Oryctolagus cuniculus: one gene and its partners. The protein of the gene in region 2 interacts with the protein of the main gene of each other region in a pairwise test. Links are inferred from orthologs where the notes say so. Each region holds a gene or a part of one and is shown on either strand. Other genes may lie near its edges.

Region 1 (3,651 bases), on a different chromosome or scaffold from region 2:
AGTGGCAACAGGGAAATTTTAAGTTTTATTTAATTGTAATGAATTTAACATAAAATAGTCATGTAGACTGTATGTGAGGTACATGTGGCCAGTGACTGTCTTATTGGACAATGCAGGTCTGGATGCCTTAGGACTCTAAATTAGTAAAGCTCTGTTCAAGTGATTACTGAGTCCCTGGACATAAAGCACTTGCTGGCTCCACGGGGGCTTCAGGGATCATACATGCAACACCCGACTTACAGATGTAACTGAACCGATGTTATTGGAAAGGGAGGCCAACTTATGCTGCATGAAGTAGGTGTTCTCTGCTCTCACCTGAGTCCAAACAAAGCATCTACCCCACTCTGGATTTGATCTCCCAACCCCTAAAGGCACTGAGGTTGAGGGAGTGCATTTATATTCTGAAACACTCATTAGTCTCTCCCAAGCAGGTGAGTCCCTGGTGAAGCAAGACAGCAAGCAAGTCCAGGTGGACCTCCAGGACCTGGGCTATGAGACCTGTGGGCGGAGCGAGAACGAGGCTGAGCGGGAGGAGACCACAAGTCCTGGTAAGAGTGCAGGGTGTGGGGTCCACCTTCCCTCACATTTGGGTGCTCCTGGCTAATACCCCTCCTGAGAAGTAGAAGGGGAAGAGGGTGTTGTGACTGAGGGAGACACAGGACATGGGAGGATTTGAATTCAGGCTCCGCCATGTGCTAGCTGGAGTGATCTGGAATACGTTCGTTTACCTTTCTCTGAGTGCGGGTTTACACAGTGAGTAACCTAGAAAGTGACCGTTCCTAACTTGCAGGGCTGTCGGGAGGTTCAGAATAACCCGGCTGAATAAGGTTCTGCCTCAGCTTTTGCTCGAGTGACTATTGTCCTCATAGCCAAACCCGCCTCCCCTCACAGGGAGGGGTCACTGCAGAACATGGAGCTTCTGTTCAGGAAGATGTCTTTGTCCTTTTCCAGAGTGTGAGGAGCATGACAGTCTCAAGGGAATGGCCCTCAGGGAGGGGCTGTGCTCCGGGCAGGGATGCCTGGGCCCGGCCCTGGCCAGCACCCCCGGGAAGAAGCCCTCGGAGAGCCAACTCAGGAAACAAGAGTTCCAGGCATACGGGAAATCAGAAGACATCTCGGCCCTGCAAAAGGACATCAGGGATCTGAAAGCCCAGCTGCAGAATGCCAACAAGGTCATCCAAAACCTCAAGAGCCGGGTCCGGTCCCTATCGGTCACGAGCGATTACTCATCGAGTCTGGAGAGACCCCGGAAGCTGAGGGCTGTCGGCACCCTTGAGGGGTGCTCTCCTCGTAGTGTCACTGATGAGGATGAGGGCTGGCTGTCGGATGGCACCGGGGCCTTCTACCCGCCAGGGCTTCAGGCCAAAAAGGATCTGGAGTGCCTTATCCAGAGAGTCTCCCAGCTGGAGGCCCAGCTGCCGAAAACCGGACTGGAAGGGAAACTGGCCGAGGAACTGAGATCAGCTTCGTGGCCTGGGTAAGGAGGGCAGTGTCGGGCCCGTCCTCGATTGACGACGTCTAAGTTTGTGCTGGGAGTAGAGAAGCCCAGGCAGGTAAAAGAGAGAACATATATAGGCAGTCATGCGGGCACTTGCTGCCGTGGTAGACGTAGGTCTCTGGAAAGGACAGATAGACGAACAGCAGGCTGGGAGCTGCCAGGTCTCTGGAATGTCCCTGCAGGCATTTAGTAGAAAAGTGACAGTGTGGGTAATACAGCACAGTAGGAAGAGCCAAGTTGGAGAACCTGGGTTCAAATCCCGGCTCTGCCATTTACTACCTATGCAACCCACCCATCCTGCCTCAGCCCATTTCCTTACCTATTAAATGAAGATAATAAAAGAATACACCTCAGAGGGGGGGTGGTTATTAGGTTTAAAAGAATTAATACAAGTGCTTAGAATAGTGCCTAACATATCTTAATCTCTCCAACCCTATTTGCCATCGTTATCATTGGTATTGATGCTTTGCATTGAAAAACACTGGGTAAACATTCATCTTGGCATGTCCTGGTCATCCATTGCTAAGAAAAAGCCTCCTGAAAACTTGATGACTCTGGATGATGAGCCGTCATCTCTGCGGGTTGACTTGGCTCATGGGGTCCTGCATGGGGCTGCTGTTAGGTGGTAGCCAGGGCTGGAGCCAGCTGAAAGGCCTGACCGGGTGGTCACCGCTCCTTTAGGCACCTGTGTGCTGACTCTGTGCTCCTTGGCCCCTCTCTTTCTCCATGAAGCTCCTGTCTTCCAGGGCCTCTCTGCCTGACTTCAGCTTCTCCTAGCGCGGGGGGTCTCAGGTACTTTCATTTCCATGGGGCAGTGGCTTCTAAGGCAGGAAGTACAAGTTGCCAGGCCGGTTAAGAACCACTCCTGGACTTGACTCCGTGTTACTTTCTCTCTATTATCTTGGTGTAAGTGGTCACAGGGACTGCTCAGATGTAAGGGGATGAATACCCTCTAGCTGCTGAAGGAAAGAAAGCTGTATTGCAGAAGACGTGGGGTGGGAGCTGTGTAATGGACGCAGTATCATAGTATACAAGAAATCCAGACATCGCAGGGTGTGTAGAGTAGAAGACGTGGCAGGTCCCATGTGTATTTAGGGTGAAGTGTTTCTAAGTGTTTACTGGGGATCTGCTGCGTGTCTACACTGTACTGGTACTGGACAGGATGTTAAATATGGCATTGTCTTTACCTCACCGAACTTATGATTTGGTTTTGGACATTGGACTGACATATATTTGGACATTTGACTAGCTCATAAAAACAGTTGAAGGACAGGAGCAGTAGCTGTTTTTCCTTTGCTATTGTAGTTTTCCAGAGCAGAATTTACTCTTTTTTGTTTTTTAAGCCTGAGCCTGGTTTTTTTTTTTTTTTTTTTTTTTTTAGATTTGTCTATTTATTTGAAAGGCAGAGTTACACACACACACACACACACACACACAGGGGGAGAGAGAGAGAGAGAGAGAGAGAGAGAGAGCAAGCTTCATCTGCTGACTCACTCTCCAAATGGCCATAACAGCCGGAGCTGAGCCTTTCTGAAGCAGGAGCCAGGAGCTACTTCCAGGTCTCCGATGTGGGTGCAGGGGCCCAAGGACTTGGGCCATCTTCTACTGCTGTCCCAGGTGCATTAACAGGGAGCTCGATCAGCAGTGGAGCAGCCGGGACTCGAACCAGCGCCTATATGGGATGCTGGTGCTGAAGGCGAGAGTTTACCTGCTATGCCACAGTGCCAGCCCCAGAATTTACTCTTAAATACTTCCGATGACTTTAGCTGGAAGAGTTTCTTAGAGATATTCTCACAGAAACCTCTACAAAATCTCCATAACTTACCACTCACTCTTTCCCTTTTTTCTTTAAAAAATGTTTGATTTAAAAATATTTCAAATATAGGAAAATATAAAGATGAATTCAATGAGCACTCAGAGACTGAATAATTTTTAACTTTTTGCCATGTTCACTTCATATGTAAGTATTATGTATATACACATATGTACTATTTTTCCTGAGAGAAGGAATGGATATATATGTATACATATATATATATATATATATATAATTTGACAGATAGAGTTAGACAGTGAGAGAGACAGAGAGAAAGGTTTTCCTTCTGTTGGTTCACTCCCCAAATGGCTGCTAAGGCCAGCGCTGAGCCGATCCG
Region 2 (3,651 bases):
ATGTCTTTGTAAATGAATTCTATATATAAATGCTTTATCTCACCACGCTGATGTATTTTACAAGAATTCAGATTTGTCTTTGTACCTTAATAATGTTTGAATGTAATTGTTGCTTCCTTATTTTTTGCCCTAAAATCTAAAGCCATTTCTTTACATAGAAAACTTTGTATTTTGAGATACTTCTAGATTGACATAAGAAGTAATAGAGAAGCTATGTACTCCAAAACACTAGCTATTTGAGTGCTTATGCTTATTAACTTACATTGAGTGCTTCAAAGAATAAAATAATATTCACTTCTAAGCATAATACTGGGGATCAATACATTTCTTTACATTAAATTCAGTAGTTCAGGATATGTATCTCTATACAAAGTAATTTAAAGAGTAAAACAGGGGCCCGTGTTGTGGCAAACAGGTTACGCTGCCACCAGTAATGCTGGCATTGCATTTGGCCTACAGGTACTGGTTTGAGTCCTGGCTGCTCCACTTCTTCTTCTTCTTCTTCTTCTTTTTTTTTTTTTTTTTTTTTTTTTTAATAAGATTTATTTATTTATTTGAAGACAGAGTTACAGAGAGGCAGAGAGAGAGAGAGGTCTTCCATCTGCTGGCTCACTACCTAGATGGCCGCAATGGCTGGAACTGTGCTGATACAAAACCAGGAGCCAGAAGCTTCCTTCGGGTCTCCCATGCAGTTGCAGGGCCCCAAGCACTTGGGCCATCTTCCACTGCTTTCCCAGACCATAGCAGAGAGCTGGATCAGAAGTGGAACAGGGGGGTCTCGAACATATGGGATGCTGGCACTGCCAGCGACAACTTCAGCTACTATGCCATAGCGCTGGCCCCTGCTCTACTTCTGATCCAGCTCCCAACTGATGCACCTGGGGAACAGTGGAAGCAGACCCAAGTGCTTGGGCCCCTACACCCACATGGAAGACCTGGAAGAAGCTCTGGACTCCTGGCATTGGCCTGGTACAGTGGCACACTACTATAGAATTCAACCTAAAGACATTCTTTACATCCCATATCACTTTGTATTCTGGAAGAAACCAGCGTTCTTCATCTCCTCAAAACTTTTCATGGAATCAGCATTTCTGTAGAAATCTGCATGTGCCTTCTTTCCTGGTTCCACCACAGCAGACTTGCACAGAGCTGCAGTGCTCGAGGAGATGTGCAGCAACTCCTGTGGTCGTCCTGTTGGGGTGATTTCAAACTCGGGTATTGAAACAATTCAGTTATTTTTTTCTAAGTCAATTATTCTTTGGTGATTTAGTATATACCTGTTCATCTCCAGGGTCCATAAGGTAATTTTGCTTCATACCCACATGTAATATATCCAGTTTATATGCACTTGGAAAAAGAAAAAGGAGACGAAAGATAATTTTCAATAGTTCATTTAAAATAATTTTAAATAGTTTAGACAATTCCCAATATTCTGATCAATGTTTATATGGTGCAAAATGAGGAGAGGACAAGGTGTTGTGACTTGTCTGCCATCTCATCCTGGAGTAGCCAGGACTTAAACCGGTGCCCATATGGGATGCTGGCACTGCAGTTGACAGCTTTACCTGCTACGCCACAGTGCCAGCCCCAAGTAAGTGCTCTTTTTAAACATGTATGCTTTGTACTTGTCCTTAAACTGAAGTTTTGGTAGCCAGACCTGCAATTCAGAAAATTTTAGGCAGCAACACTACATCAGAGAATGACTTAATCAACAGGTGATTCACTTAAAGCTATTATTTTTTTAAAGATTTATTTATTTAGTTGAACAGCAGAGATATAGAAAGGCAGAGAGAGAGAGAGGTGTCTTCCATCCCCTGGTTCACTCCCCAGATAGCTGCAGCAGCCAGAGCTGTGTGGATCCAAAGCCAGGATCCAGGAGCTTCTTCTGGATCTCCTACGTAGGTGCAAGGGCCCAAGTCTTCTACTGCTTTCCCAGGCCATAGCAGAGAGCTGGATTGAAGTTGGACAAGCGGAGATTCGAACCGGTGCCCATTTGGGATGCTGGCATGCTGTAGGGGGTGGCTTTACCCACTACGCCATAGTGCCAGCCCCCTCTATTATTATAAACCTTGTCTGGTTGATATTTTCTTTTGAGAATCTAATAAAACTCCTTGGAAAATAGTTGACTGGAACACTAATTTTTTTATTTGAGAGGCAGAGTTAGAGAGAAGGAGACATAGAGAAAGAGAGAGATCTTTCATCTGCTGGTGCACCCCTCCAAATGGTCAACTGGCCCAGGCTGAAACCGGGAGTGTCCTCTTAGTCTTCCACGTGGGTGGCGGGGACCCCAGGACTCCAGCCATCTTCCTCTGCTTTCCCAGGCACATTAGCGGGAAGCTGATTGGAAGTGGAGCGGCCAGGAACCAAACCAGTGCCCATATTGAATATGGCGTCGCAGACAGCAACTTAACCCACTACACCAGAGCCCCTTCCTCCTAACCTCCCTCCCCCTTTTTTTTCTTATTTAGGATTTTGTGGAAGGACAGTTGATGGGAAGTGATTCATGAACATCTTTGTGCCTGTGACTGCTAGATTGAGTTCCTATTCTGGAGAGATACTATCTAAGTTTTCTCTTTTGAATTTAATGTCTTGTATTTTGTGCTTAATCTTGTTGGCCTATCTGATGACAGTATTAGCAGTTGTTCACGTTTACTTAATTCGCATTTTGTGTTTAGATTGCAGGTGAGAAGAAGTCTGCCCAGTGGCGTACAGTGGAGGGAGCATTGAAGGAACGCAGAAAGGCAGTAGATGAAGCTGCTGATGCCCTTCTCAAAGCCAAGTAATTACTCATGGACTTTAACAAGTAATTAGGGCCTCTGGTGGCTCTCTGGGCTGGGTTTTCCTTGGATTATCTGGGGAAGATACTGTAAGAGGAGGCAGAGACCCTTTCCTCCTGCACCTGTGCTGCTTCTGAACTGGTACCAGGAAACAGGAAAACAATGAGGTGAAAATAAATTTGACAGAAACTTACATAAATGATCTTATATAAACGTCAGTTTTGCTTTGGATTATTGTTGAGGTGGTGAGATTCCTGAGAGTTTCATAATTTCTGTTTTGCTGGGCTGGTTTAAACAGTTCTGTCAGAATTTGGAAAATATGTCATGATCTCTTTGCCCTAATTACCTAAGAATTGACTATATATTGTCTTTTGCCACTTTAACCTTGATTCCTAGAAGTTAACTGAAACTAGGATCAAGTGAAAAACCCAAGTATAAGACCAACCTCTGATGATGGAGGGCTGCATTTGGACTAAAGGTTCTCATCAACAGTGTGTAGTAGTTATTTTTTATTTAAAATTTTGCTGTTTTATTTATTTTTGATAGAGCCTTCTAATGAAGCACACGCCTTTTAGATTATGCCCACATCACTAGACAGTGTATCAGGGCTCTGAGTTCTGTGTTTTGTGGTGGCTGGGCCACAGTCTGACCTTTGAAGCATTCTAAATTGTCATTCTAAATTGACGTATTTGCTCAGTGAGGTAGGTCTCTGGCCATCTCCCTGGCCTTTGCGTTCCTTCAGTTCTTTGTGATTGACAGGGACATCAGCCTAATCCCTGCCAGTCATTAAGTGTTCACTGTGTGCCATGCACTGTGCCAGGTTTTTCTCATGAATTACTTCTAACCCTGCACAAGGGCGTGCAGCAAGTGCAAG
Region 3 (3,651 bases), on a different chromosome or scaffold from region 2:
GTGAAAGTCATTCCAAGGCACTTCAGCAAGAATATCCAAGAACTGGGTTTATGTTTGAGTTAAGTGTACTCAAGGATCAAATTTGGCTTGGTGTGTGTGGATGAAGATCATGATGCAAGACTTCTGCCAGTGTTTTGCATTTTCTCTCTTTTTTGTACCCCTATTTTTTTTTAAAGGATTTATTTATTTGAAAGGCAAAGTTTCAGAGAGGCAGAGAGAGAGGAATCTACAGACCTACATTCTGGTTTTTTTTTTTTTTTTTTTTTTTAAGATTTATTTTATTTATTTGAAAGAGTTACAGAGAGGCAGAGAGAGAGGCGTCTAATGTCCAATGGTTCACTCCCCAGATGGCTGCAACGGCCAGAACTGTGCAGATCCGAAGCCAGGAGCTTCCTCCGAGTCTCTTGTGTGGATGCAGGGGTCCAGGACTTGGGCCATCGGCTTTCCCAGGCCATAGTACAGAGCTGGATTGGAATTGGAGCAGCTGGGATCGAACTGGTGCCCTTAAGGGATGCCGGCACTGCAGCCGGTGGCTTTAATCACTGGCCCCCCTTTTTTAAAGATTTATTTATTTGAAAGGCAGAATTACAGAGATGCAGAGGCAGAGAGAGGGATCTTTTGTCCGCTAATTCACTCCCTAAATAGCTGCAGCATCCGGAGCTGTGCCAATCTGGAGCCAGCAGCTTCTTACAGGTCTCCCACTGGGTATAGGGGCCCAGGCACTTGGGCCACCTTCCATTGCTTTCCTGGTCCATAGCACAGAGCTGGATTGCAAGTGGTGCAGTGGGATTTGAGCTGGTGTCCATAGTGGATGAGAGAGATCTTCCATCTGCTGGTTCACTCCCTGAATGGCTGCAACAGCCGGAGCTGGTGGGATCCAAAGCCAGGAGTCTGGAGTTTCCCTCAGGTCTCTCATGTGGGTGTTGATGCCCAGAGACTTGGGTCATCTTCCACTGCTCTCCCAGGCCATAGCAGAGTGCTGGATCAGAAGTGGAGCAGCTGGGATTCAAGTTGATGCCCATATGGGATGCTGGTACTGCAGGTGGTGGCTTTACCTGCTATGCCACGGGGCTGGCACAAATTTTCTTAAAAATATTCATGTTCTGAATGTTTCTGTAGATAATAAAAGTGAAAGATTTCTGAACTAAGGGGTCAGAAGAAAATGATTCTAATACCTTCCTTTTGAATCTTATGTCGTTCAACCCTATGTAAGCCACTTTTATCTCAATTGATTTAGTTACTTAATTTATAAATTGTGGATGGTGAAACTTGTCCCTAACTCAAGGTTATTTGGAAGAATAAATGAGTTAAGTGTTATATCCCTCTTTAATAGTTTCATTAATTTTCTTATATTAACATTTCAGACTAATGTGGGAAAATGCTTTGAAACCTAGTTGTGTAGTACAGATGGAATGAGTTGTTACTTTTATGTTTTTTTTCTTAAGGTTTGTTTCTTTGAAAAGCAGAGATGGGGAGAGGGTAGGAGTGGGGAGAGGGAGAGATGGGAGATGGAGATGATGGAGGCGGAGGCAGAGGCAGAGGCAGAGGCGCAGGCAGAAGTATCAGGATCAATCCTCCATCCATCTGCTGCTTCACTCAAATGCCTGCAACAGCCAGGGCTGGACCAAGTTGAAGCAAGGAACCAGGAACTCCATCTGGATCTCCCACAGGGATGGCAGGGCTCCACGCATGGAGCCATCCTGCACTGCTTTCCCAGGCGTGTTAATGGGAAGCTGGTCTGGGAGTGCAGCAGTTGGGACTTGAACCAACAGGCATTCAGAGATGGAATGCCTGATTTGCAAGTGATGGCTTAGCCCTGTTGTGCCACAAAACTGGCCCCTGTGTTTTTTTCTTTGAATCCTTGGGTTTCATCATCTGAAACTCCTGGAGTAGTTGATACTTGGTATGGTTATTTTTTAATGTGCATTTATTTTTGCTTCAGGTTGATTGCATCTTCTAAGGACAGGTAAATTCAGTATTTAGCATAGTGACTTGATCATTTATAATTATAGTGTAAGCTTACTGATATTTGCTTTGGTAAATTTCACAGCTTTGTGAATTGAAAACAGGTTTTGTTTTAATGTATTTGGGTTTGGCTTACATGTTTGCTGTAAAATGTTTTACCTACTAAATCAAGGACCTATTTTTATTAGGCCTTCACAGAGCTTCAAGCCAAAGTTATTGACACTCAACAGAAAGTGAAGCTTGCAGACATACAGATTGAGCAACTGAACAGAACGAAAAAACATGCACATCTTACAGATACAGAAATTATGACTTTGGTAGATGAGACTAACATGTATGAAGGCGTAGGAAGAATGTAAGTAAAATATATCTTTACAGGGGTTGTTATGGGAGAACGGTTGTCTGAACTGAATCATTGAATTTGTTTATTTTGAAATTTGGGCCAAAGTGTATAGAAATAGCGTTAGTGGTTATTTAGTCAAATGCCTTCTTTTTTTAAAAAATGAGGTAATGAACCTTAGAAAGGTATGAGTGTTTAATTTTAAACATTGAAATTATGTATCTTAAATCCGTGTTCTCTCTACAGTTATGTCCATACTAATTTTGTTTGTAAAGATTTATTTAAGTAGGAATAATTTTATTTGTTTTTTAAAGATTTTATTTATTGATTGATTTGTAAGGTAGGGGGACAAGAGAGGAAGAGACAGCTCTTCCATCTGTTTTTTGATTCTCCACATGGCTGCAATAGCTGGAGCATGTTAGCACTAAGGTGGAGCACTCCTGTAGGGGTGCCACAACATAATGCACCCCCCTTCCTTTTTATTTTTATTTTTTTGTTTCACTTATTTGAGAAGCAGAGAAAGAGAACCTTCATCTGTTAGTTCAACTCCCAAATGCCTGCAACAGACTGGGCTGGACATGAGTGAAGGTGGAGGCCAGGAACTCAGACAGGTTGTCCACGTGGTTAGTTTCAGACACCCATCACTACTGCCTCCCAAGGTCTGCATTTGCAGGAAACTAGAGTTAAGAGCTAGAGCCAGACAGTGAACCCAGGCCTTTGGGTGTCTTAATTGGTAACTGCTGGCTAAACTCCTGTCTCAGTAGGTGTAGTGTTTTTTTCCCCCCAGAGATTTATATATTTATTTGAAAGGTGGCGTTACAGAGAGGCAGAAGCAGAGAGAGAGAGAGGTCTCTCATCTGCTGGTTCACTCCCCAAATGGCCACAACAGCCAGAGCTGAGCTGATTTGAAGCCAGGAACCGGGAGCCAGGAGCCAAGAGATTTCTCTGGGTCTCCCAGGAGGGTGCAGGGACCCAAGGACTTGGGCCATCCTCTACTGCTTTCCCAGGCCATAGCAGAGAGCTGAATCAGAAGTGGAGCGGCTGGATTCAAACTAACAGGGGTATTGCAGGCGGTGGTCTCAGAATGTATAGGTTTTTTATTATTATTTTTTTTGACAGGCAGAGTGGACAGTGAGAGAGACAGAGAAAGGTCTTCCTTTGCCGTTGGTTCACCCTCCAGTGGCCGCCACGGCGGCGCGCTGCGGCCGGCGCACTGTGCTGATCCAATGGCAGGAGCCAGGTACTTATCCTGGTCTCCCATGGGGTGCAGGGCCCAAGGACCTGGGCCATCCTCCACTGCACTCCCTGGCCACAGCAGAGAGCTGGCCTGAAAGAGGGGCAACCGG

What was found.
Region 1: the proteins of IMMT (region 2) and PDE4DIP interact in a two-hybrid assay, tested with the Homo sapiens proteins (2 studies listed by BioGRID and IntAct, with this or other methods). The link is inferred for Oryctolagus cuniculus from reciprocal best matches to the Homo sapiens genes IMMT and PDE4DIP.
Region 3: the proteins of IMMT (region 2) and PFDN1 interact in a two-hybrid assay, tested with the Homo sapiens proteins (2 studies listed by BioGRID and IntAct). The link is inferred for Oryctolagus cuniculus from reciprocal best matches to the Homo sapiens genes IMMT and PFDN1.

Annotation. Positions count from the first base shown.
Region 1 is NC_091438.1:50,661,479-50,665,129, forward strand, and holds part of PDE4DIP (myomegalin), read left to right. Parts: intron 1-428; coding exon 429-548; intron 549-951; coding exon 952-1,477; intron 1,478-3,651. UniProt on the Homo sapiens protein: Functions as an anchor sequestering components of the cAMP-dependent pathway to Golgi and/or centrosomes.
Region 2 is NC_091433.1:116,590,268-116,593,918, forward strand, and holds part of IMMT (MICOS complex subunit MIC60), read left to right. Parts: intron 1-2,675; coding exon 2,676-2,779; intron 2,780-3,651. UniProt on the Homo sapiens protein: Component of the MICOS complex, a large protein complex of the mitochondrial inner membrane that plays crucial roles in the maintenance of crista junctions, inner membrane architecture, and formation of contact sites to the outer membrane.
Region 3 is NC_091437.1:27,957,944-27,961,594, reverse strand, and holds part of PFDN1 (prefoldin subunit 1), read left to right. Parts: intron 1-2,153; coding exon 2,154-2,320; intron 2,321-3,651. UniProt on the Homo sapiens protein: Binds specifically to cytosolic chaperonin (c-CPN) and transfers target proteins to it. Binds to nascent polypeptide chain and promotes folding in an environment in which there are many competing pathways for nonnative proteins.